Linked DNA regions of Ovis aries. The protein of the gene in region 4 interacts with the protein of the main gene of each other region in a biochemical or structural test. Links are inferred from orthologs where the notes say so. Each region holds a gene or a part of one and is shown on either strand. Other genes may lie near its edges. The genes, in order: FLT3, PTPN6, ERBB3, SYK and ERBB4.

Region 1 (3,512 bases), on a different chromosome or scaffold from region 4:
ACAAAGCTATCCTAATTCAATTTCTCTCTCATCTTTTTGATACTAACCTTATACTGAAAGCAGAATTTGCAGCACCTCCCTTACACTCCACACTAAAACAAATAAAAACGCGAGTACAGATTATGTGCGCAGCTGCATTACCTAGGATGGTGACCAAAGCTGATTTACTGGGATGCTCTGAAGAGGAACAAGTGTAATAGCCAGTGTCATTTCTTCCCACTGATGATACAAAAGCAAACAGAATCCGTATCATAGTTCTGTTTGTGGAATAGGTACTCATCTCAAAGTAGCTGCCCTAGATTTTAATATAAAACAGAGTTTGAATGGAGTGATTTCCACCTGGATACTTGGTTCATTTTTCTGCATTTCAGAATACAAGCTCATCCTCTCACCTCTTCCAGTGCTTTATTCTCTAATTCCCAGCTGAGCCCGAATCCATGGTTTACGTGAATGGCTTTGCACCTTATCCATAAAGGTTCCCCTACTTTAAGAAATAATTGTGGCGGTGTGGTCTGAGGAGTCTGGTTTAGATCTAGAAGATGAAAAAATCCCGGGTAAGAAGAAAAGTGATTCCCCCCTGCCCCACACAATATATCCTGAACATTCTGCAGAATAAAGGCTTTAATGGTATCTCAGGGCTTCCCTGAGGGCTCAGTGGTAAAGAATCTGCCTGAGACACAGGAAGATCCCACGTGCCATGGAGCAACTAAGTCCATGGGTCACAACTGCTGAGCTTCTGCTCTAAAGCCTGGGAGTCGCAACTACTAAGCCCATGTGCAGCAACTACTGAAGCCCACACGCCCTGGAGCCCGTGCTACGTAACAAGAGAAGCTACCACAATGAGAGGTCCGTGCACCCCAACTAGAGAGTAGCCCCCCATTTGCCGCAACTAGAGAAAAGCCTGTGCATCAACAAAGACCCAGCACAGCCAAAAAATAAAATAAATAAATTTTTAAAAAAGATTTTAATGGCATCTTAAATATTACAAACTATCCACAATAAAAGGATCTTTCAGAGATTAAGTAGTCTCTTATGAAGAAATGAGCACAGAAAGAATCCATAATATTATACTGAAAATGGCCTGAAGGAACTATAGCATTTTTGAAATTGAGTGAGGACCTAAGGGGTGATGATTAGTCCCAGACTGTCTCCAAGGAACAGTCACAGAAAATGGACACGATATGACGGTCTTACCTATAGTGAAGAGCTTGGTACATTCCCTGCCCAGCTCATTTCTTGCACAGCACCTGATATCTGTTCCAAATAACTCATGGAGGACGCTCTCCTCCTTCGTGACGACAGCTGGACTCTCTCCTTTACAGCTGCAATTAAAAAAGAAATGTCAGTTGACTTAAACACCTTTTAAAATGACAAGCGAGTATTCAGGAGAAGAACCAGATAAAAGGTTGTAGAGTTTAAGAGCCTGATAAGAAAATAAAGATAGGAGCAGGTCACAAGGCAAACCAATTCATACTGAAGGTGCCCGCACCACCCACGGAATTCTTAAGGGAACTAGTTAGTTATTCATCACCTTCACCTAATTAGAATAACGCTGGAAGGAATCACATAATAAAAGAGTTCAAAAGGTTTTGAGAAAAGTATGGATACTAAAGGGGAAAAGGGCGGGAGGAACTGGAAAACTGGGATTGACATATATACACTCACTGTCGGTAGTATGTATAAAATAGAAAACAGCATGTGTAAAACAGGTAAGAGCATGTATAAAACAGATAACTAATGAGAACACGGGCTTCCCTGACAGTCCAGGGTGGTGGCTCAGAGGTAAAGAATCCGCCTGAAAATGCAGGAGACAAGGGTTCAGTCCCTGGCTCGGGAAGATCCCCTGGAAAAGGGAATGGCAACCCACTCCAGTATTCTTGCCCGGGAAATCCCATGGACAGAGGAGCCGGGCGGGCTACAGTCCATGGGGTCCCAAAAGAGTTGAACACAACTTAGCAACTCAACAACAACAAACGAGAACATATTGTATAGCTCAGGGAGCTCGACTTAAATGCTCTGAGGTGACCTGAACGGCGAGGAAATCCAGAAGTGAGGGGGTACTTGTACATGTAGGTCAGATTCATTTTGCTGCTCACTAGAAACTAATACAACACGGTAACGCAACTATACTACAATAAAAATTTATTTTAAAAAAGATTTTGTGTCTGGTGACCTCTTGGTTGTTGTCAAACAGAGAAAATGAATGGAAGAATTGAGAAAAGACAGAAAAGGGGTGGGGAAGAAAGTGGAAAAAAGGAAAAGCACAATTAGGTTCTAATACAGCAACAAGGTGTAGGGTCTTTGAAGCTCTGAAGAGGACAAGCAGTGAGAGGGAGAGAGGCCAGGGTTGCAGAAGTGCCCAGGGTCCCCGCAGCTCACAGAGGAGAGGGTGGTGTCACCTGAGAGGAGCCAGCCCCACCTGGGGATTTGGGCTTCCCTGGTGGCTCAATGCTAAAGAATCTGCCTGCAGCGCAGGTGACTCAGGTTTGATAAAATCCCCTGGAGGGCACGGGAACCCACTCCAGTATCCTTGCCTGGAGAATCCCCAAGGACAGAGGAGCCTGTCGGGCTACAGTCCATGGGGTCTCAAAGAGTCACGACTGAAGCAACTTAGCACACACGCATGGGGACTTGAGGGACTTCTCCCTGCCCTCTCCCACCTCCCTAACTATCACCTTTCCCAAAGCAGGTACAGCTTTTGGAATAGTCACAGCTTTCTGTGACTATACACAGACTATATACAGCTTCTGTGTATAGTCACTTTTCTCCTCTTTATCACTTCAGTCACATAAATTGTTTACACGTTATTCCTTGAGTTTTAAAAATGACAACAATAATTCTTTTTAAATTACAATAATAATAATTTTTGTTTGTTTTTGGCCAAGTGGTAAGGGAAATCTTAGACCCCTGACCAGGATGTAACCTGAGTACCCTGCATTGGAAGATCAGAGTCTAAACCACTGGACTGTCAGGGAAGTCCCAATAATAATTAATCTTTAAGATGACAATAATTGCTTATTATAGAAATTTTGGAAAATCCAGAGAAACCCAAAGAAAAGAATTTTAATTTGCCCATATTCCTACCACCATGAGATGACCAACTGTTACTATTTTGCTGTGTGTAGCTTTCTGATCTTTTTCTTCCCTGTTCACACATTTATATCTATAGGTAATCTCTTTTTCCTTCAAAATGTGGGATCCCAGTTTTCTCATTTGGCAACCTGATTTTTTTTTTTCTCCTTCTCTTTGGTCCCATTTTTCAATTAAAGTTGTTTAGTACATTTTAATTAGTTCAAACAGCATGAATCCTTACTTTGTGAACACTTAGGTATAACACATTTATAAGGTACTTAGTATCTACCAGGCATTGTTCTGTGCGTTTCACGTGTACCGATTCATTTCCTCATCAGAGTGATCGTACAAGGTACAGACCACTACCAGCCCCATGATTCTAATGAGGTGGGAAGGGGTTAAGTAACTCATTCAAGGCCACACAGGTATAAGCACAGAAG
Region 2 (4,106 bases), on a different chromosome or scaffold from region 4:
AACAGGCTCAAGGAAGCTGAGAGTTAAAAAAGTAAGGGCCTACTAATTGAGAAGAGAAAATTACTCACTTGGGAAGCAAGGAGATAAAGGCAGAGATGAAGATCAACAGGTATGCAGAAAGACAGGCAGTCTGGAAGAGCAAACAAAGTAATCTCTAGAAAGCTCTTGAAGTTCCCTGGGCCTCAGTATCCCTACCTGATAAATGGGTTTAACAATATTTCCCAAATGCTGATATAAAAAGCCGATATGAAGTAGGTTTTTAGTATGAAAACACACAGCTTTTGTGTGATGTTATTAATGTATATGCCAACCCTATTTAGTAGGTCCTGTTAGCCAATTTTATTTATTTATTTTTGGCTGTGCTGGGTCTTCCCTGCTGCTTGTGGTCTTTCTCTAGTTGAGGTGCATGGGCTTCTCAGTGCTGTGGCTTCTGTTTTTGCAGAGCGAAGAGGGGCTCAAAGGCTCAGTAGTTGTAGCCCAAGGGCTTAGTTGCCCTTCAACGTGTGGAATCTACCCAGACCAGGGATCAAACCCATGTCCCCTGCCTTGGCAGGTGGATTCTTAACCACTGGACAACCAGGGAAGTCCATGTTAGCCCTACTTTAGAAACAAAAACTAAGGCTCAGAGAAGTAACTTGACCAAGGTCACAAACTAGGAAGGGGAAAGACAACAAACCAAGGCTGTCTGACGTCTAACGAGGCCACTGTCCTTCCCACTGCACCACCCGCTGCGGGAGGAGGAGGCAGGGCGTGGGCAGAGGCCCCTGGGGAGCTGGCACGGGACCCACGAGCATAGTGCTGGCTGGGAGCTGGGCCCTATGGCTGAGCTGAGCTGTTCTGAGAGGCCGGGACCCTTGGCAAAGGGTCTCACAGGGCCAGCCTGAGGAACCAAGGAAGGATTCTTTCTCAGGAAAGGACTTGCCAACCATCTGGCAGGAAAATGACAGAGGCAGGAGCATGGAAGAGATCGGGGACCAGAAGACCCAATAAGAACCTTGACAGCAGGGATCTCCTTGGCAGTCCAGTGGTTAAGACTCCTCGCTCCCAGTGCAGGGGGCTCGGGTTCAACCTCTCATCAGGGAACTAGATCCCACATGCCACAACTAATAAATAAATGTATTTATATATAAATACATCTATCAATAAACAAATTATTTATAAATAAATCTACCAATAAGTCATTTGTTTACACATAAATCTATTAATAAGTAATTTAGTTATAAGTAAATCTATCAATAAATATTTTTAAAATACATAATTAATAAAATAAATTTTTAATATTTTTTTAAAGAATCTTGACATTGGGGCTGAAGGAGACAAGGGGTGCACTGAGGGAGGCAGGCACACCCCAAGAGCAGATGTGAATATAACAAGCAAGAACTTACTGGACTTGGGGCAACCAACCTACCAACTCACCAAGACGCCCAGCAGGTCCTCACTGTAGTATCCAAACACCAAGAAGGCCCCACGTGACCCAGCCCTCCTCTGTCCTCACTGGCCAACTCTGCCCCCAGGCACCATCATTCAGTTTATTCCCACAGTAGGGTCTTTGTACTGGCCATTCCCTCTGCCAGCAGCACTGGAGCCTGATTCTTCCTCCTCATCCAGGTCTCAGCTCCTTCGTCACCGACTCAGGAAGGCCCTCCCTGGCCCCTCCAGCCAGTGATGCCACTGGCACCCCAGTCCCTTATTAGCATGTGAAGCTGGTTTATTTTCTGGGTAACACTTCCGAGACCCGGCAATTATCCTATTTAATGGGTTCCTTGGGCAGTCTGTCCCCTTCCACCCGCATGAAGCTCCGTGAAGGCAGGAACTGTGTCTCTTGTTTGTTACAGTACTGGCAGCACCTTAAAAAGCACCTGACAGAACTTCCCTGGCAGTCCATTGGTTAGGACCTCACCTTCCAATACCCGGGGTGTAGGTTCATCCATGACTGGGGAGCTAAGATCCCTCCCACATGACTTGGGGCCAAAAAAGCAAAACATAAAACAGAAGCAATATTGTAACAAATTCAATAAAGACTTTAAAAATGACCCACATTAAAAAAAAAATCTTAAAAAAATTTAAAAACTAAAAAGCACCAGCATACAATAGATACTTAACAGTATCTGAATGAATTGATGCAGAGGAGTGAAGGAAAACTGAGGGAGATTGGAATGAAGGATTTGGGACATTTAGTGAGAACAGGGCATCTTTCTCAGGTCTGCCTTTCAGATGTGTAATGTTTCAGGTGTCATTCAGCTCCCTAGGGGACGTGTCCTTAGCAGAAGACAGAAGCAGGGGACCAGAGGGCGGAGAAAGAAATTTGGTGAGAATAAATATGCATCCGTCAGGGAGAAAGTACCAGAGAAGGGGGTGGGTCAGAGGGTCATGAACAAGGCTGGAGTTCTGGCATCTTGTGGGGAAAGTGACCTGGGGAGGGGACAGGGGCAGGTCACACTCATGGTCATGCACCTGTCAGGAGTGAGCAGGATCCCCGCCCCTCCCTCCCCAATGAACAAGAGCCCCGGTTACCCAGATGGAGCAAGGGACTTACCCATGGGACAGCATTTCCCCAGAGGGGTGGGGAGTCCCAGGCAGAAGGCACAGGGGGCGGGGTCGAGCCCGTGGCGCAGCTGTGCAGGGGCCCAAGCCAGGTGAGGAAGAATGCTCAGAAACCAGCCACTTTCCTCTTGATGCTGCCTGCCAGGCCACAGGCACCGTGGGGACAAGCCCCTGGACTAAATAACCCCGGAAAAGGGACAGGTGGGGCGGAGCTGGCCTCAGCAGCTGGCTTCTCCCTCCAGCCCTACTCGGCAGTCTAGCGCCAGCCCAGCACGCCTGCCTGTTCCCCGCCTCCTTCCCTGGGGAAGGGAGGAGCCACCTGGAACTCCACCTGGCCCGCCAGCCAACCGAGCCGCAGGAAGCTGGGTGCTGCGGGCAAAGCCCAGGAAGTCACCCTGGCCAAGGGAGCACCAGCCAATGGGGAAGTCTCCAGGGGCACAGAAGCCCAGGAGCCTCAGGAAAAGTCCAGAAAGCCCCACTGCTCAAAGAGGGTGAAGGCTGTGCAGGCCACCCCACCCAGGGGGGTTGAGGGGCCGGCCCATCCTCCCACTCTGCACTCTGCCCTGGAGCTGGTCCAGCCCTGAAGGAACACAGGAAAGATCTGGAAAGGGAAATGGGACAGCCTGAAAGGCAAGAGGGAATCAGGCAGGACGTAGAGGTTGTCAGGGTCACAAAAAACAGACATCAACACTAAGTCACAGGCACATTTATTATCCTGCAGTACAATTAGGTCTTCCCTTCCCCAGCAGTGTTAACGGGAGGGCCAGTCCTCAGGAGGCGGCCACGCTGCCACCTGAAGCAGGCCCGTGGGGCGGCAGGGTCATGGGCGGCAGGAACAGAGCCTTCAGCTTCCCCGACAGGCTGGCAATCTCAGGATCCTGGGCTTCGTAAGACTTAACAAGGCGGGCAAACTTAAGAACACCTGCAAAGGGGAACGAAACTTCAGTCCACATCCACAGGGGACGGATGTGCCCAAGATGGCAGGAGGGAGCAGCCTGAGCTGGAGTGGATGGCTGCTTCCCCTCTGGTCAGGTAGCTGTCTTCAAAACAAGACCCAGGCAATGCCCTGCGTGGTCCGGATAAATTATTTCCTGGTCTACACCAGGCACAACCGGATGGGATGCAGTGAATGAAAACATCCCAAAGCAGTGTGCTTCCCAGGATCAGATTAACCATTTTAGCAGTTTAGTCACAAGAGCCCAAAGGATGCGTACCCAACAGAACAAGATCGCCAGTCTATAACCAGGACACAGGAGGATCATGGGCCAGCTGGGTGGGATCAATAAACACTCTTGGAGAACTCGGTGATCTCACCCAAGAAACTGAACCCTCAGATTAGCCAGCCCTCAGATTAGCTGAAGCACTTTTTTTTGGGGGGGGGGGGCGCTGCAGAAGTGTGTGGTCACATAGACATTTCACTAAAAGCCATCAAAATGGGACTCATGGGACGTTCTCCTGTGGCCTCCATCACTGGTTTACTAGCAGAGTCTGATTTCTCATCTTAAAACGGAATAACAGTATAATTAATGGTAACGACAACATGCACTTAAGAACCTCTCGGC
Region 3 (4,075 bases), on a different chromosome or scaffold from region 4:
CAGAGAAGTTGGATGGAAACAGCAGTCGACTGCCTCCAGTCTCAGCCTTCTACCCAATTTTATTGTCAGAGGAGATCCATTAAGAAGTCTTCCAAACATCGCTCACTCACTCACTCAATCCTCACTCACTGTCAGTCTTGGAGGTTCACTTTACTTTGTAAGTGTGGAGGAGGACATGGGGGCTTATAGTCAATCTTGGACCCTGAAGCCCTACCCTGTCTCTCCTCTGGCTCGGTGAAAGGCTGCAAGGGAACGGGTAGATACCACCTGTTCCAGCCACCCTTCCCTGAGGCGGTGGCAGCCTAGTGGGAGGCAGGAGTGGGAATGGAGGAAGGGAGGTGGGTGAGGCCCCAACCCCTCCTCCTGGATGCACCCCTAGTCTGACCACTCGACCTTTGAGGGGTTCCCATTCCCTATCACTCCCCATGAAGGGAAAAGTGTGAGCTAGACCCAGCAGAGGAGTAAACAGACACGAGCTCCCAGAGGTGCCTGGGAACCCTAGGGTCCTTGGGTTGAAAAGAAAACCACTAGGAGGCTGGTCGTTTCTGCAACAGCCCCACCCCAACTCCCTTCTTGCCAGGACACCCCCTCTTCCAAGTCAAGGCGCCAACCTTTCTCCCCAGATAAAGGAGGAGCCAAGATTTCTGCACAAGGAAGCAGGGTGTGTGTGTGTGTACACACGCACACACATTCGCACGCAGACAAACACGTACACAGCTCCCCTACTAGCCCGGTCCGTCCTTGGGTTTCCTTGTTAGGGAGTATTGCAGGTGGCCCCATCCTTCCCACCTGCCCGCATGTGTTTGTGCAGACTTTGTGTCGAGCTGGGGAGACTACAGTGTTAGAGGTCCCAGTTCCCTGCCACCCTGAGGGTAAAGTCCATATTACACAAACAAGAGCAAAGGGCTGGGCGGGAAACGATGAACAACACCTCTGAGGAGGAACCAGGCATCTAGGGGAGGAGTGGAGGGGGAGGGGAATTCAAAAGTCCTTGCTATACCCAGCGACCAGGGGCACCGGGAGGGCCAGTGTCACGGGGCTCCCCTTTGGTAGAGAGCACTGGGGTGGGTCGCAACAAGAATCTCCAGCCCCTCCTCAGCCAGAGGCCTTCTCCCCCAAGTCCCCCGCCCCCATCACCGCCAGGACAAAGGGGCTATAGAAGGACTGAGACGGGGCCGGATGCCCAGAGGCTGCAGGAGCCAGATAAAGGGTAAAGAGACCCAACCATGCCTGCCTCCTGTCTCCCTCAGGGAAGGCGGCCAGGATCCAGGACTCCTGGGTTCCCAGCTGAAGATTCCAGGGGCCTGAGCGGAACAGTGAGACAGTCACTTTACTCCATCTCTCCCACTCCAATGCCCAGACCCCCGCCCTCTACCAGCTGGGAGTGTTCACATCCCAAGATCCCAGGGTCTAAATTTAGGCCCAGCAACTGTGAGGGAAGCACAGGTGTTTCTCCCACTCCCACCCTGGGGAAGGGGCCCTGACAGTGCCAAACCCCAAGCTGAGATCTGGGGGGGAGGGGAGGAAATCAACAGAACTCCTCCAATGCCAGCATCCCCAGCACCCCTCAGTTGTCCACCACCCCAGAGACACCCCAAAGAGGGGGGCTTAGCTGGCATGGGAGTGGGAGGAGGAACAGAGGGGTGATCTGACTCTTGTCTAGACGGCTGGAGACCGCCAGACAATAAACAGAATGGGAGTAGGGATGAAGCTGGCTCTGAGAAGGACCCTCCCCATGATAGGGGGCTCAGAAGACAGGACAGGTGCCCTGTCAGCCCTCAAGTTGGGGAGAGAAAAGGCTGAAATATAGCGGCTGGAAATCCTTGACCCTATAGCTGGTGGTCCAGGGCTCTGTACATAGTAGATGCTCAGTAAATATTGGTTAAATTGATCTGGGGCTTAAAAAAAGTTTGGTCAAGTTGGAGACCAGCCAACTTTATTATTTTGAGAGAACGAGGGCAGTCAGCCTCTGCGTGGCCGCTCTCCCTGCTGTCCCCTGGACTTAGCCCCCAGGTTAATCTCCACTCTCCCCAGGGCAGGCCCACTCACGGAAGAGGAGGTGTCACTCTGTTTTCCAACACTAGAGAACAACAACCTCTCCCCCTTCCACAGCTCCGCCCTGTCGGCAGAACAACGAAACTGGAGCTTGCTGAGCCCCAGGGGCCAAAGAGGTCTGGAGTAAACCGAGATGCCCACCTCCGTGCCCCGCTTCCTCCGTGTTCTCCACCTCCAATCACCCCCTCACGTTTACAGAATGGAGGTCCTAGTTCCCGTCCCTGTAGGGTCCTCAGAAGTGTGAATGGTTTAAGCATCCGCCGGAGAGACAAATCTGAGGGTCTGCGAGGCGCCCAGGAGGCGGTGGCCGGGGAGCAGGTCCCTGAATCGCGTCCCCGCCCGGACCACGCCGAGAACCCCATCCTGACGGTCCCGGGCCCAGGGGGTCCCAGCCGGCGGGGGCTTCACACCCCAGCCTCGCGCAGCCCAAGCTCCTGCCGCTGGCCTCCGGCACCCCACGAATCCGGCTCGGAATCCCGGGTTCGGAGCCCGCCAGTGCTCCCGCGCCGCTTACCTGCCTGCGAATTGCCCACCTCGGAGCCCCGGGCCAGGCTGAGGAGGAAACCCAGCACCTGCAGAGCCCGGTTCACCTTCATGACTCCAGCGGAGGGTGAGGGGAACCCAGCCCAAGCCGGCCGGGAAGGGCCCTGGACTAGGACATCGAAGCGGAGCCACCTGAGCCGCCAGCGACCCCGGTAGCGGCGGCAGAGGAGGCTGCGAAGTGCAACCGGAGCCGGAGTCCGGGGCGGGATGGCAGGGGAGGAGTGGAGTCTGCGAGGGAGCGCAGGACGGAGCGCAGGGGGAGGGGGTGAGTCTCGGCCGCGCCCCCTCGGGCGCGAGGCTGGAGTAGCGATTGCCGGAGCTTCGGCGGCCCGCCCCGAGCTAGCGCGCCCCACGCCCAGTGGCCGGCAGCTTGGCCGCGCAGATCCTAAACGGCTCTCGCCCTAATTATTCTCCCGGAGTCCAAGATTCCGAACGCCCCCAAATACTTCCAGAGGAGAAAGGTAATGGGGGTGGGGAGAGAACGCTCCAAAGCCCGACCCCCTGCGAGTTGGCCTCGCCCACTAACCAAATCACTCAACTCCCCTAGCCGGTTGGGTCACTTGGGGGAGTTTCTGTCTCAATGTGTTTGCCTGTGTGTGTGTGTGTTTTTGAGGGGGAGGGTGTTTTTGTCGCCTTGAACAGGCCACCTCAGTTTCCCCGGAAACCCCCTCGAAACCCCATAACTCATCCGCCCTGCCGAGGAACCCGAGCTCCAGAGGCCGCGTGAAATTGCACTGTCTCCGGCCGCTTCCTCCTCCAGACCCGGCGCCGGCCCGGCCTCTCCCGGGGATTTGGTAGGGGGGCGGGGGTGGCTTCCAGCCTGGGAACAGACCCCGAAGCCCGCCTTTTCACTTCCACCCCGGGAGGGGCTCCCGCACCTGTCGCTGTCCCCTCTGCTGCCCCCCACGGCCGCCTGGGAGAACAGCTGCCTCCCCTTGCACACTGGAGTCGGACCGCGCCGTCGGGGCGGCCGCCTTCCCCACCACAGAAGTTCACTTTCCCAGGCCTTCCGGGCCTGGGGTCTTCCTGGAAAGGAGGAGGAGGGGGACGCCGAGAGGGCCCTAGAGACTGCGTCCCCGAAAGGCATGAACCCAGGGCACCAGCTCCCGGATCCTAGCCAGAGGCGCTGTTGACCACCACGAGGGGATGCCCCCAAACCCAGGCCGACACCAAATGGATAGGATGGGCACTTCCTGGTGCCCAGCCGGCGGCAGTGAGGCCTCACACGGTGTGGCATTCCGGATCTTGCCCTGAAAGCCTAATTATTTTCCCCAGAGTTTCAAGCCTGAAGACTTCAAGAACAGTTGAGCTTTGAATAAGAAAAATTCCACCTCTCACTCTGAGCCAAGAGTACTGGCTAAAATTCTTTAAACTTGCTTTGCACCCTGGAGGGCCTGTTCTGTGATTGGAGGCTACCTTTGCCCTCTGAGTGTTGACCTTGTCCTGACCACTTACTTAACAGTCATGATAGTAATAG
Region 4 (3,512 bases):
GACAACATGGAAAACGAGAATGAGAAGGAGGCTGACAGCTGAGTGAATTACCTTCCTAATCACACTTAGTGGGAGAGAAATAGATACCTATTACAGTGGTAAATGAAGAACACAAGTCACTGATTCAAAGTTATAAAAAGAACCAGAAGAAGTGAAAATAAAAACATAACCAACCCCTGAGGAGCAGGAAGAGAGGAGGGGAGGTAGAAGGGAAGGTGAACCTGAACATTTTGTCATGCTTCATAGATGGGACGAAAAACAAAAGCAGTAACAGTTACATACCAAGGAGGCAACCGGTGCAGAGTTAGCAAAGGGCAAAAGCAACAGAGTGTGGAATACTACTCAGCCACAATAAAGAAGGGACCACTGACACGTAACTGGTTCACAAATGTGTTATACTGGGTGTAAGGAACCAGTCTGAGAAGGCTACATGCTGCGTGAGTCCATTTACATGACATTCTAGACAAGGCAAAACTATGGGGACAGAAATCAGGTAAGGGGTTGCCAGGGGCTGGAGTGGGCGGGGGTGACCTGAGGGTGCTTGATGGGTGATGGACTTATTGTGTATCTTGATTGGGGCTGGGGGTGGGGCTACGTGATGTCACCTGTTTGTTTAAAAAAAAAAATGATAGAACTGTACACTCAAAAGGGATGAATTTTCATAGTGTGTAAATTATACCTCAGTAAATCTATTAAAAGAGTAAAAGGATGGTCTAAGTCTTGGCACCAGGGACCAGTTTCGTGGAGCATAATTTTTCCACTGACCTCGTGGAGGATGGTTTCTGGATGATTCAAGCACATTACATTTATGGTGAGCTTTATTTCTATTATTGCTACAATAGCTCCACCTCAGATCATCAGGCATTAGATCCTGGAGGACCCCTGGTATAAATCATATCCAATAAATACTAATGAAGAATACAGAATCCATAATATTGGTCTGCAAGACTGAATGCAGTCAGTGCAGAGCATATTATAGGAGTAACGGAGTGAGTGGATGGAATCCTCCAAAAGCCTCTACTGTTATCCACACATACATATAAAAAGCATACATCCACAAAGTGCAAGGAAATGGTTCAACATGTGAGTCCAACCAGAAGACTGTCAACCAGCCTGGTGCCTCCTGATACCAAGTGCTATGGAGAGTGTGGCGGGAATGTAAGTTGTCACAACCTTTGGGACCTTTCTGGATGACAACCTGTCATCACATCCAAATCCTTCACTGTGTTCAATCCAACCAGTTTGGGGTTACCCTGCTGATATTGATAAAAGGTTATGAGAATGGTAGGGGGCATTGTTTATAAACAATGAAGGTGTCTACCAATATGTGCTAGTAAAATGAATTATGGTCCACAGGAGGGACTATCAGAGGGCCAGTAAGGGGCTGATGCAGCTGTGTGCTTGTTGACATGGAAAATTCTGGAAGAGACATTAGGAAGGGGTAAAATCAAGTGCCAATCAGTGTGTTCAGTATGATCCTCTTAAGTAAATAAATACAAGTATCTGCCCAGTGATCCTGCTTTGAAAGGGCCCTGCATGAATTGGGTGACAGTGGTTTCCTGTGGTGGAGAAACCCACATTGCTGGCACAAAGGGGCCCACCCTCTCAAGCATGACCACAAAAGAGGAAAGGCTGCCTTCTTGGAGTGAGGCATTTGGGGGCCCATGTTGATGACTAAGGAGAAGGTTGCTTATCTGAAGCACCACTGCATAGCTCTCATGCAACTGGGTGCCTGTGTGGAATTCCAGGGCCCCTGTGAGCAATAAGACCCTTCATCACACCTGCCAGAGGACCGCCCACCACCCACCTGTAGGTTCCATGTCTGTTTCACATATTCTCGGATGAGGTTCTCCTTCAAGTCCTCAAAGGGGCCAGTCTTGGGCTGCACCCCCGGTGGCCGGTTGAAGGGCTTCTGGAGGAGGCAGATGAGGCCATCCAGCTCCTGGGTGTGGTAGTGGCAGAGCTCGGCTGGACTGCCATGGGCCCGGCCACCCGTGATGGCATAGGTGCCATTCAGCTCCCTCTCGATGGTGTAGTGATGTGCCTTTCTGTCATGTGCCACTGACAGGGCGAAGCCACCCAGGTAGTTGCGGCTCTGGCGCAGCAGGTAGAGCCCATCGCTCATGCCCCCCTGGACCAGGTAGTCTTCCGCCTCCTCCCGAGTGATGTTGCCGAAGAAGAAGGGCAGGTGGTTGGCACCGTCACCCATGCCTGTGCCTTTCCTTCAGGTGTCCACCTGGCAAAACAAAGACCAGGCAGTGGTCAAGACCCGAATGGCAAGGCATTGTTAGAGGACCCACCCTCCAGCTCTGGAGGAAAGTCCTCCAGTCAGCAGGATGCTCTTCCTTCTGGGACTCAGGTCTAGAGCCTGAGCTAATCTGCCCTTTTCCTTTCTGCCCACATAACCATTAGATTTCAATCCATGCACCTATGGACACCTTATCTTTGACAAAGGAGGCAAGAATATACAATGGAGTAAAGGCAATCTCTTTAACAAGTGGTGCTGGGAAAACTGGTCAACCACTTGTAAAAGAATGAAACTAGATCACTTTCTAACACCACACACAAAAATAAACTCAAAATGGATTAAAGATCTAAACGTAAGACCAGAAACTATAAAACTCCTAGAGGAGAACATAGGCAAAACACTCTCCGACATAAATCACAGCAGGATCCTCTATGACCCACCTCCCAGAATATTGGAAATAAAAGCAAAAATAAACAAATGGGACCTAATTAAACTTAAAAGCTTCTGCACAGCAAAGGAAACTATAAGCAAGGTGAAAAGACAGCCTTCATAATGGGAGGAAATAATAGCAAATGAAGCAACTAACAAACAACTAATCTCAAAAATATACAAGCAACTCCTACAGCTCAATTCCAGAAAAATAAATGACCCAATCAAAAAATGGGCCAAAGAACTAAATAGACATTTCTCCAAAGAAGACATATGTATGGCTAACAAACGCATGAAAAGATGCTCAACATCACTCATTATCAGAGAAATGCAAATCAAGACCACAATGAGGTACCATTTCACACCAGTCAGAATGGCTGCGATCTGAAAGTCTACAAGTGATAAATGCTGGAGAGGATGTGGAGAAAAGGGAACCCTCTTACACTGTTGGTGGGAATGCAAACTAGTACAGCCACTATGGAGAACAGTGTGGAGATTCCTTAAAAAAACTGGAAATAGGACTGCCTTATGACCCAGCAATCCCACTGCTGGGCATACACACCAAGGAAACCAGAATTGAAAGAGACACGTGTACCCCCAATGTTCATCGCAGCACTGTTTATAATAGCCAGGACGTGGAAGCAACCTAGATGTCCATCAGCAGATGAATGAATAAGAAAGCTGTGGTACATATACACAGTGGAGTATTACTCAGCTATTAAAAAGAATACATTTGAATCAGTTCTAATGAGGTGGATGAAACTGGAGCCTATTATACACAGTGAAATAAGCCAGAAAGAAAAACACCAATACAGTATACTAACACATATATATG
Region 5 (4,266 bases), about 190 Mb from region 4:
ACTGGGCTCACTTGTGTGGGTCTGACAATTCACGGGGGGAAAGCGAGAAGAGACCAGCGAGGGTGCGAGTCGGTGTCGCCAGAGACGAGGAAGAGGACAGCTGCAGAACTAATTTGGATTACATTCCTTGCAGAAATTCTGAAAAGGGCTTTTCGGCATAGCTCAAGCCCGAGCCGCACAGTTAATACCCAATCGCTGCGGACTCGCAGCCGGGTCCCCCAGCGGCAGAGATTGCACCAGACAGCCCCCCAGTAGGTCGCCCGGTGGAAATTCCTCTCGGCTAAGCCTGCGTGTCAGTCGCAACTGCTTCTGAATGGTTCAATGTGCATAATCAACCCATTGAGGGGAAATATGAAGGGACGCGGAGTGGGGAGGGAGATAAAAAGGGATGTATCTAAGAGGCCGCTTGGAATCTCAAGTCGGTGTTGGTGTAATTCCGGAGGTGGCTGGAGCCCGGGACCTGGTATGCATGAAGAATTTCGGAGTAATTGGGAGGGTGCAAACGGCCAGAACAAACGGCGCACATTGTGCCATTCGAAGGTCATTTTGAAAGGCTCGAGGATTGTAACTTGTTATTTACTAGGCGAGGGGGGAGCGGGGGGAGGCGGCGGCGGCGGGGGCGGAGCGGGAAAACTCCAGCGCGCTGTTTTCTTGGTGAGGTCAGAAGGACACGCTCCGAGGGCCTGAAACTCTCCCTCTCGCCACTCCCCGGGGGCTTTATCTTCTCAAGGTGCCTCCCACGCCCTCGCGACCAGCCCCGTATGGTTCCGGACATCTCCCCGGCTCTCCAAAAGGCCCCCCTTGGCCACGTCAGTCCCCGGTTTTCCTGGCCCTTTCTTTCCTGTCCCACTTTCATCCTCAGGAAACTCAAGTGTCAGAAACTTTGAGCTCCCTGGGCCCGCAGGGGCTGTCATCCACCCTGCGGGCCCCGCCGCGCCTCCTCCCCGGGGGTCAGTTCGCCTCCTGCCCCGCGGGGTCCCGGGGCGCGAGCTCCCCGGGCAGCAGTGGTAGCGCACCCAGTGCCGCAGCACCCGCCTTGGGTTCTATCAATTCGCCTGACGGGTTGGCTCGGCAGCCGCGCCCGGCAGTAAACAGAAGTTGGAGGGACTCCGGCCAATAGCAAGTTGAACTACAGGAAGAACTCTTCCTGAAGCCAAACACAGAAACCGACGGGAAGGCCGGGCTCCCGGCTTAAGTCAGTCAGGCCATTAAAAAAAAAAAAAAAAAAAAAAGGTCAAGCAAGCCAGCCAGCCCCCCTTAGTCCGCGGGGCGAGGGCTGGGGACGCCAGCGGAGGCCTTGCGTTCCCGGGCCCCCCGGCCGAGGCGTGTCCTCCCGCCGTGCTCCAGCTCCCAGGCTGGGCTCGAGTCGGGTCTGACCCCGCAGGCTCGGACGGCCAGGGACGCAGCGGCCGCGGGCAGCGCACACAGGTGCAAAGCCGGCTCTCGGAGCTCCTCTCCCCACTGCCCTCCCGCTCCCCGGAGCCCAGCTGCCACGGCCCCGGGATCCCAATCCTGCCTCGGAGCCCCGGCAGGGCAACGCTTCTCCGAGGCTTCTTCCCTCGCGGGCGGGGGCGGGGGGTAGGCAGACGCTGCAAGGAGCGTCTCCTCTGACTCCGGCTTTGGGTCTCCCACGTCCCGCACAACAGGCGCTACCAGAAGGGATCCGGCTTAGAGAGGCTCGAAGAAAACGCGCGAGAAATAAACAAGGGGAGAGAGAAAGAAAAGGGACGGAGAAAGGGGCGCAGAGTGGTTTTTCACGAGAAACACATGCCCACGCAGAGGGTAAGTTTGGGATAGAAAGAGGGGCGAACGAAAAACACAAGGAAGAGGCGCGGGTGACGTGGTCCCTCCACGCCCGAGAGCGAGAGGGTCTCTGGTTGGGCTAAGGGCGCAGGGGGCGAGGAGCCACCCGGCGCCGCTCGGCCGGCAGCAGCAGGTTCAACCCTGGGAGCGCGAGAAGGACCGCGACCCACCTGACTGAGAAGAGCTGGGCTGGACGGTCCCCGCCGCCACGAGAAGGCTCACCCAGACCCACAGTCCTGTCGCCAGCTTCATTTTTTGGAAGTCTCAGATCCAGTGCTGACAATTACATGTCCAAATGGCATAATCCCCTTTCGGGCACGCGGAGGAGATCCCTCGGCCGGGCGCGCGTGGGGGCTCGAGGGGCACTGGCGCGCGCGGTGCACCAGCTCCGAGCGCGGGCGACCGAGTCCGCGTCCGCGGGTCTAGGGCCCGGACCCGGAGGACCGGGAGAGGGTGCGCGGGAGGGCGCGCGCGGGTGGGAGTGTACTGGAGGGTGTGCGGCGGCGCTCCGGGCCGGACCGGGCAGCTACGTCCCCGTGTGAGCCTCCGTTTTCTCGCTCCCTCCTCACTTTCTCGCTCTCTCTCCCTGGTTGGCCAACAATAAAAAGAAAGGGTTCGGAAGAGGGTTTCCAAAAAAAAAAAAAGTTGATTGCAAACAGGCGGTAGGTTTCCGGCCTCTCCCCCCAGCCCGACTCTGTTCGACTCCCTTTTCAGTTTCCTTGCACCTCCAGTCCAAATTGGGAGGAAAGGGGCGGGAGGGGGAAGCTTCTCGCTTCACCCCCAATCCTGTCCTTTTTTTTTTTTTTTTGCTGTCAGCTTTCTTCACACTTGTCCGGCGGCTGCGGTAATTAAAGCTCCGAGCGTCATTTCCAACGCTCCGCGGTCTCCAGCTGCAGCCCCACCGAGAAATTAATAAGACTCCGTCCGGGAGGAAAAAAAAAAAGGTTGGGGGCGAGCGGGCGGTGGGTAAAACAACCCTCCACGCAGCCAGGCTGGCTCTGCTCAGCCGCGCAAACCCCGCCCCCGCTCTGACCCAACTAGCCACGCCTTCCCCCCCAAAGGGAAATCTTATTGGTTCAGCCACTCCCCAAAATCGTGGGCCTCAGGAGTTGGGAAAACACCTGTCAGGGAGCTGGGAGCCTAGCGGTGGGGGCGGGGGGAGCTGAATTTAAAGGGCTCACCGGAGGCCACAAACTGAATCAGAGACCACCCCCCCCCACCCCCAGACACACGGCGGACAGCTGGCCCGGAAAGCGTGGAGACCACCTGAGAGATGCTTTACAAAAAAGATTTTTTTTTTAGCCAGAAAGTCACCATTTACTCCACACTCCACGGTGCTCATCCACAGACTGGACCTGCCCTAGAAACAGAAGAAAAGAATACGCTGCTTCAATTGTATTAGGCTACCTCGCTTCCTACTTCCTCGTGCTTCACATTCAGACAGTAGTTCAAAAGCTGGTTCAGTAATTGTTAACATCTGCGGAGTAGGTAGTCCTGGGAACCTAAGCACTCCTCTTTCTTCAGTCTGTATAACTAACTATACAACCTCTCCCATCATTCCCACGCTCGCAAATTGATCAAACTAGACTTTCACTTTTGTAGAGCTGCATCCTTAGATTTTTTAGACTTTATGGGGTCACTTCATCTTTTCCTTGGACTCTAGAACAACTTGGTTTTAGGTTCATTCTCATTAAGCCGATTCTAGTCCAAAGCCACCAATTTGGTTCTAAATGGCTAGAAATTGATGCAGGGCTGAGCTGATCAGTCTGAAATAACTTAAGGCAAATGATAGGATATAACCAACCTTAAATAATTAGGTTTATCCTACAGTGGGTCCTGCTTTAGTCCTCTTCCATGTTCATACGACCTCCAGAAGTCATTGCTAGCCATAGGAGTTTCTGAACTCTTCTTAGTCTGAAACATATGGGATTGGATTATATCAGTGCACATATCCCTTGCTTTTTACAACTCTGAAACTGTACCCAGGACAAAGGCCAGAACCTCCTGAGGGCAGGGGATTATTGGTTTGCTATTTGCACAGGCGTTCTATGAATGATTTTCCCTTTTCAGCTTCTCTAGAAGCAGCAACTACATAAAAGTATCAGGGGAGCTTAAAAATTAAGTCACCCTGCCTCCTCGCTCATCATTTGAGACCTTCCTATTCCTCCCCCACGTCTTTTATCTATAGTTGTGTCCCTTAAGAATTTGCGTGGAGTTGGAACAGAGTGAAACAGCAGCTTCTTCCCAGAGGCCTCAGCCTTCCCTTTCTTAGGTCCACAGCAAGTAAGAGGAACAGAGAGGAGGCCAAACAAGCTGAGCATGCAGCTTTATCCAGAAGTAGCACAGGGCCAGGAGAAACTAAGCCTTGAGCAGGTGATGGTGACTTGGCCAGTGGTACTGACTGCAGCAGAAGTGTTCACACTGCTCTTTGGGATTATCTTTGCTGTTTTTCTCACCGTCTTC

The links.
Region 1: of the proteins of SYK (region 4) and FLT3, one has a biochemical effect on the other in vitro, tested with the Homo sapiens proteins (2 studies listed by IntAct, with this or other methods). The link is inferred for Ovis aries from reciprocal best matches to the Homo sapiens genes SYK and FLT3.
Region 2: of the proteins of SYK (region 4) and PTPN6, one has a biochemical effect on the other in vitro, tested with the Homo sapiens proteins (2 studies listed by BioGRID). The link is inferred for Ovis aries from reciprocal best matches to the Homo sapiens genes SYK and PTPN6.
Region 3: the proteins of SYK (region 4) and ERBB3 form a complex in vitro, tested with the Homo sapiens proteins (2 studies listed by BioGRID and IntAct, with this or other methods). The link is inferred for Ovis aries from reciprocal best matches to the Homo sapiens genes SYK and ERBB3.
Region 5: the proteins of SYK (region 4) and ERBB4 form a complex in vitro, tested with the Homo sapiens proteins (2 studies listed by BioGRID and IntAct, with this or other methods). The link is inferred for Ovis aries from reciprocal best matches to the Homo sapiens genes SYK and ERBB4.

What each region holds. Positions count from the first base shown.
Region 1 is NC_056063.1:32,296,523-32,300,034, reverse strand, and holds part of FLT3 (receptor-type tyrosine-protein kinase FLT3), read right to left. Parts: intron 1,323-3,512; coding exon 1,195-1,322; intron 533-1,194; coding exon 393-532; intron 296-392; coding exon 142-295; intron 1-141. UniProt on the Homo sapiens protein: Tyrosine-protein kinase that acts as a cell-surface receptor for the cytokine FLT3LG and regulates differentiation, proliferation and survival of hematopoietic progenitor cells and of dendritic cells.
Region 2 is NC_056056.1:209,357,964-209,362,069, forward strand, and holds the start of PTPN6 (tyrosine-protein phosphatase non-receptor type 6), read right to left. Parts: upstream 2,803-4,106; 5' UTR 2,551-2,802; coding exon 2,537-2,550; intron 1-2,536. Other genes in the region: C3H12orf57 (protein C10), read right to left, coding at 3,315-3,466. UniProt on the Homo sapiens protein: Tyrosine phosphatase enzyme that plays important roles in controlling immune signaling pathways and fundamental physiological processes such as hematopoiesis.
Region 3 is NC_056056.1:163,452,883-163,456,957, forward strand, and holds the start of ERBB3 (receptor tyrosine-protein kinase erbB-3), read right to left. Parts: upstream 2,808-4,075; 5' UTR 2,652-2,807; coding exon 2,570-2,651; intron 1-2,569. UniProt on the Homo sapiens protein: Tyrosine-protein kinase that plays an essential role as cell surface receptor for neuregulins.
Region 4 is NC_056055.1:25,859,328-25,862,839, reverse strand, and holds part of SYK (tyrosine-protein kinase SYK), read right to left. Parts: intron 2,237-3,512; 5' UTR 2,210-2,236; coding exon 1,808-2,209; intron 1-1,807. UniProt on the Homo sapiens protein: Non-receptor tyrosine kinase which mediates signal transduction downstream of a variety of transmembrane receptors including classical immunoreceptors like the B-cell receptor (BCR).
Region 5 is NC_056055.1:214,424,432-214,428,697, forward strand, and holds the start of ERBB4 (receptor tyrosine-protein kinase erbB-4), read right to left. Parts: upstream 2,808-4,266; 5' UTR 2,056-2,807; coding exon 1,974-2,055; intron 1-1,973. UniProt on the Homo sapiens protein: Tyrosine-protein kinase that plays an essential role as cell surface receptor for neuregulins and EGF family members and regulates development of the heart, the central nervous system and the mammary gland, gene transcription, cell proliferation, differentiation, migration and apoptosis.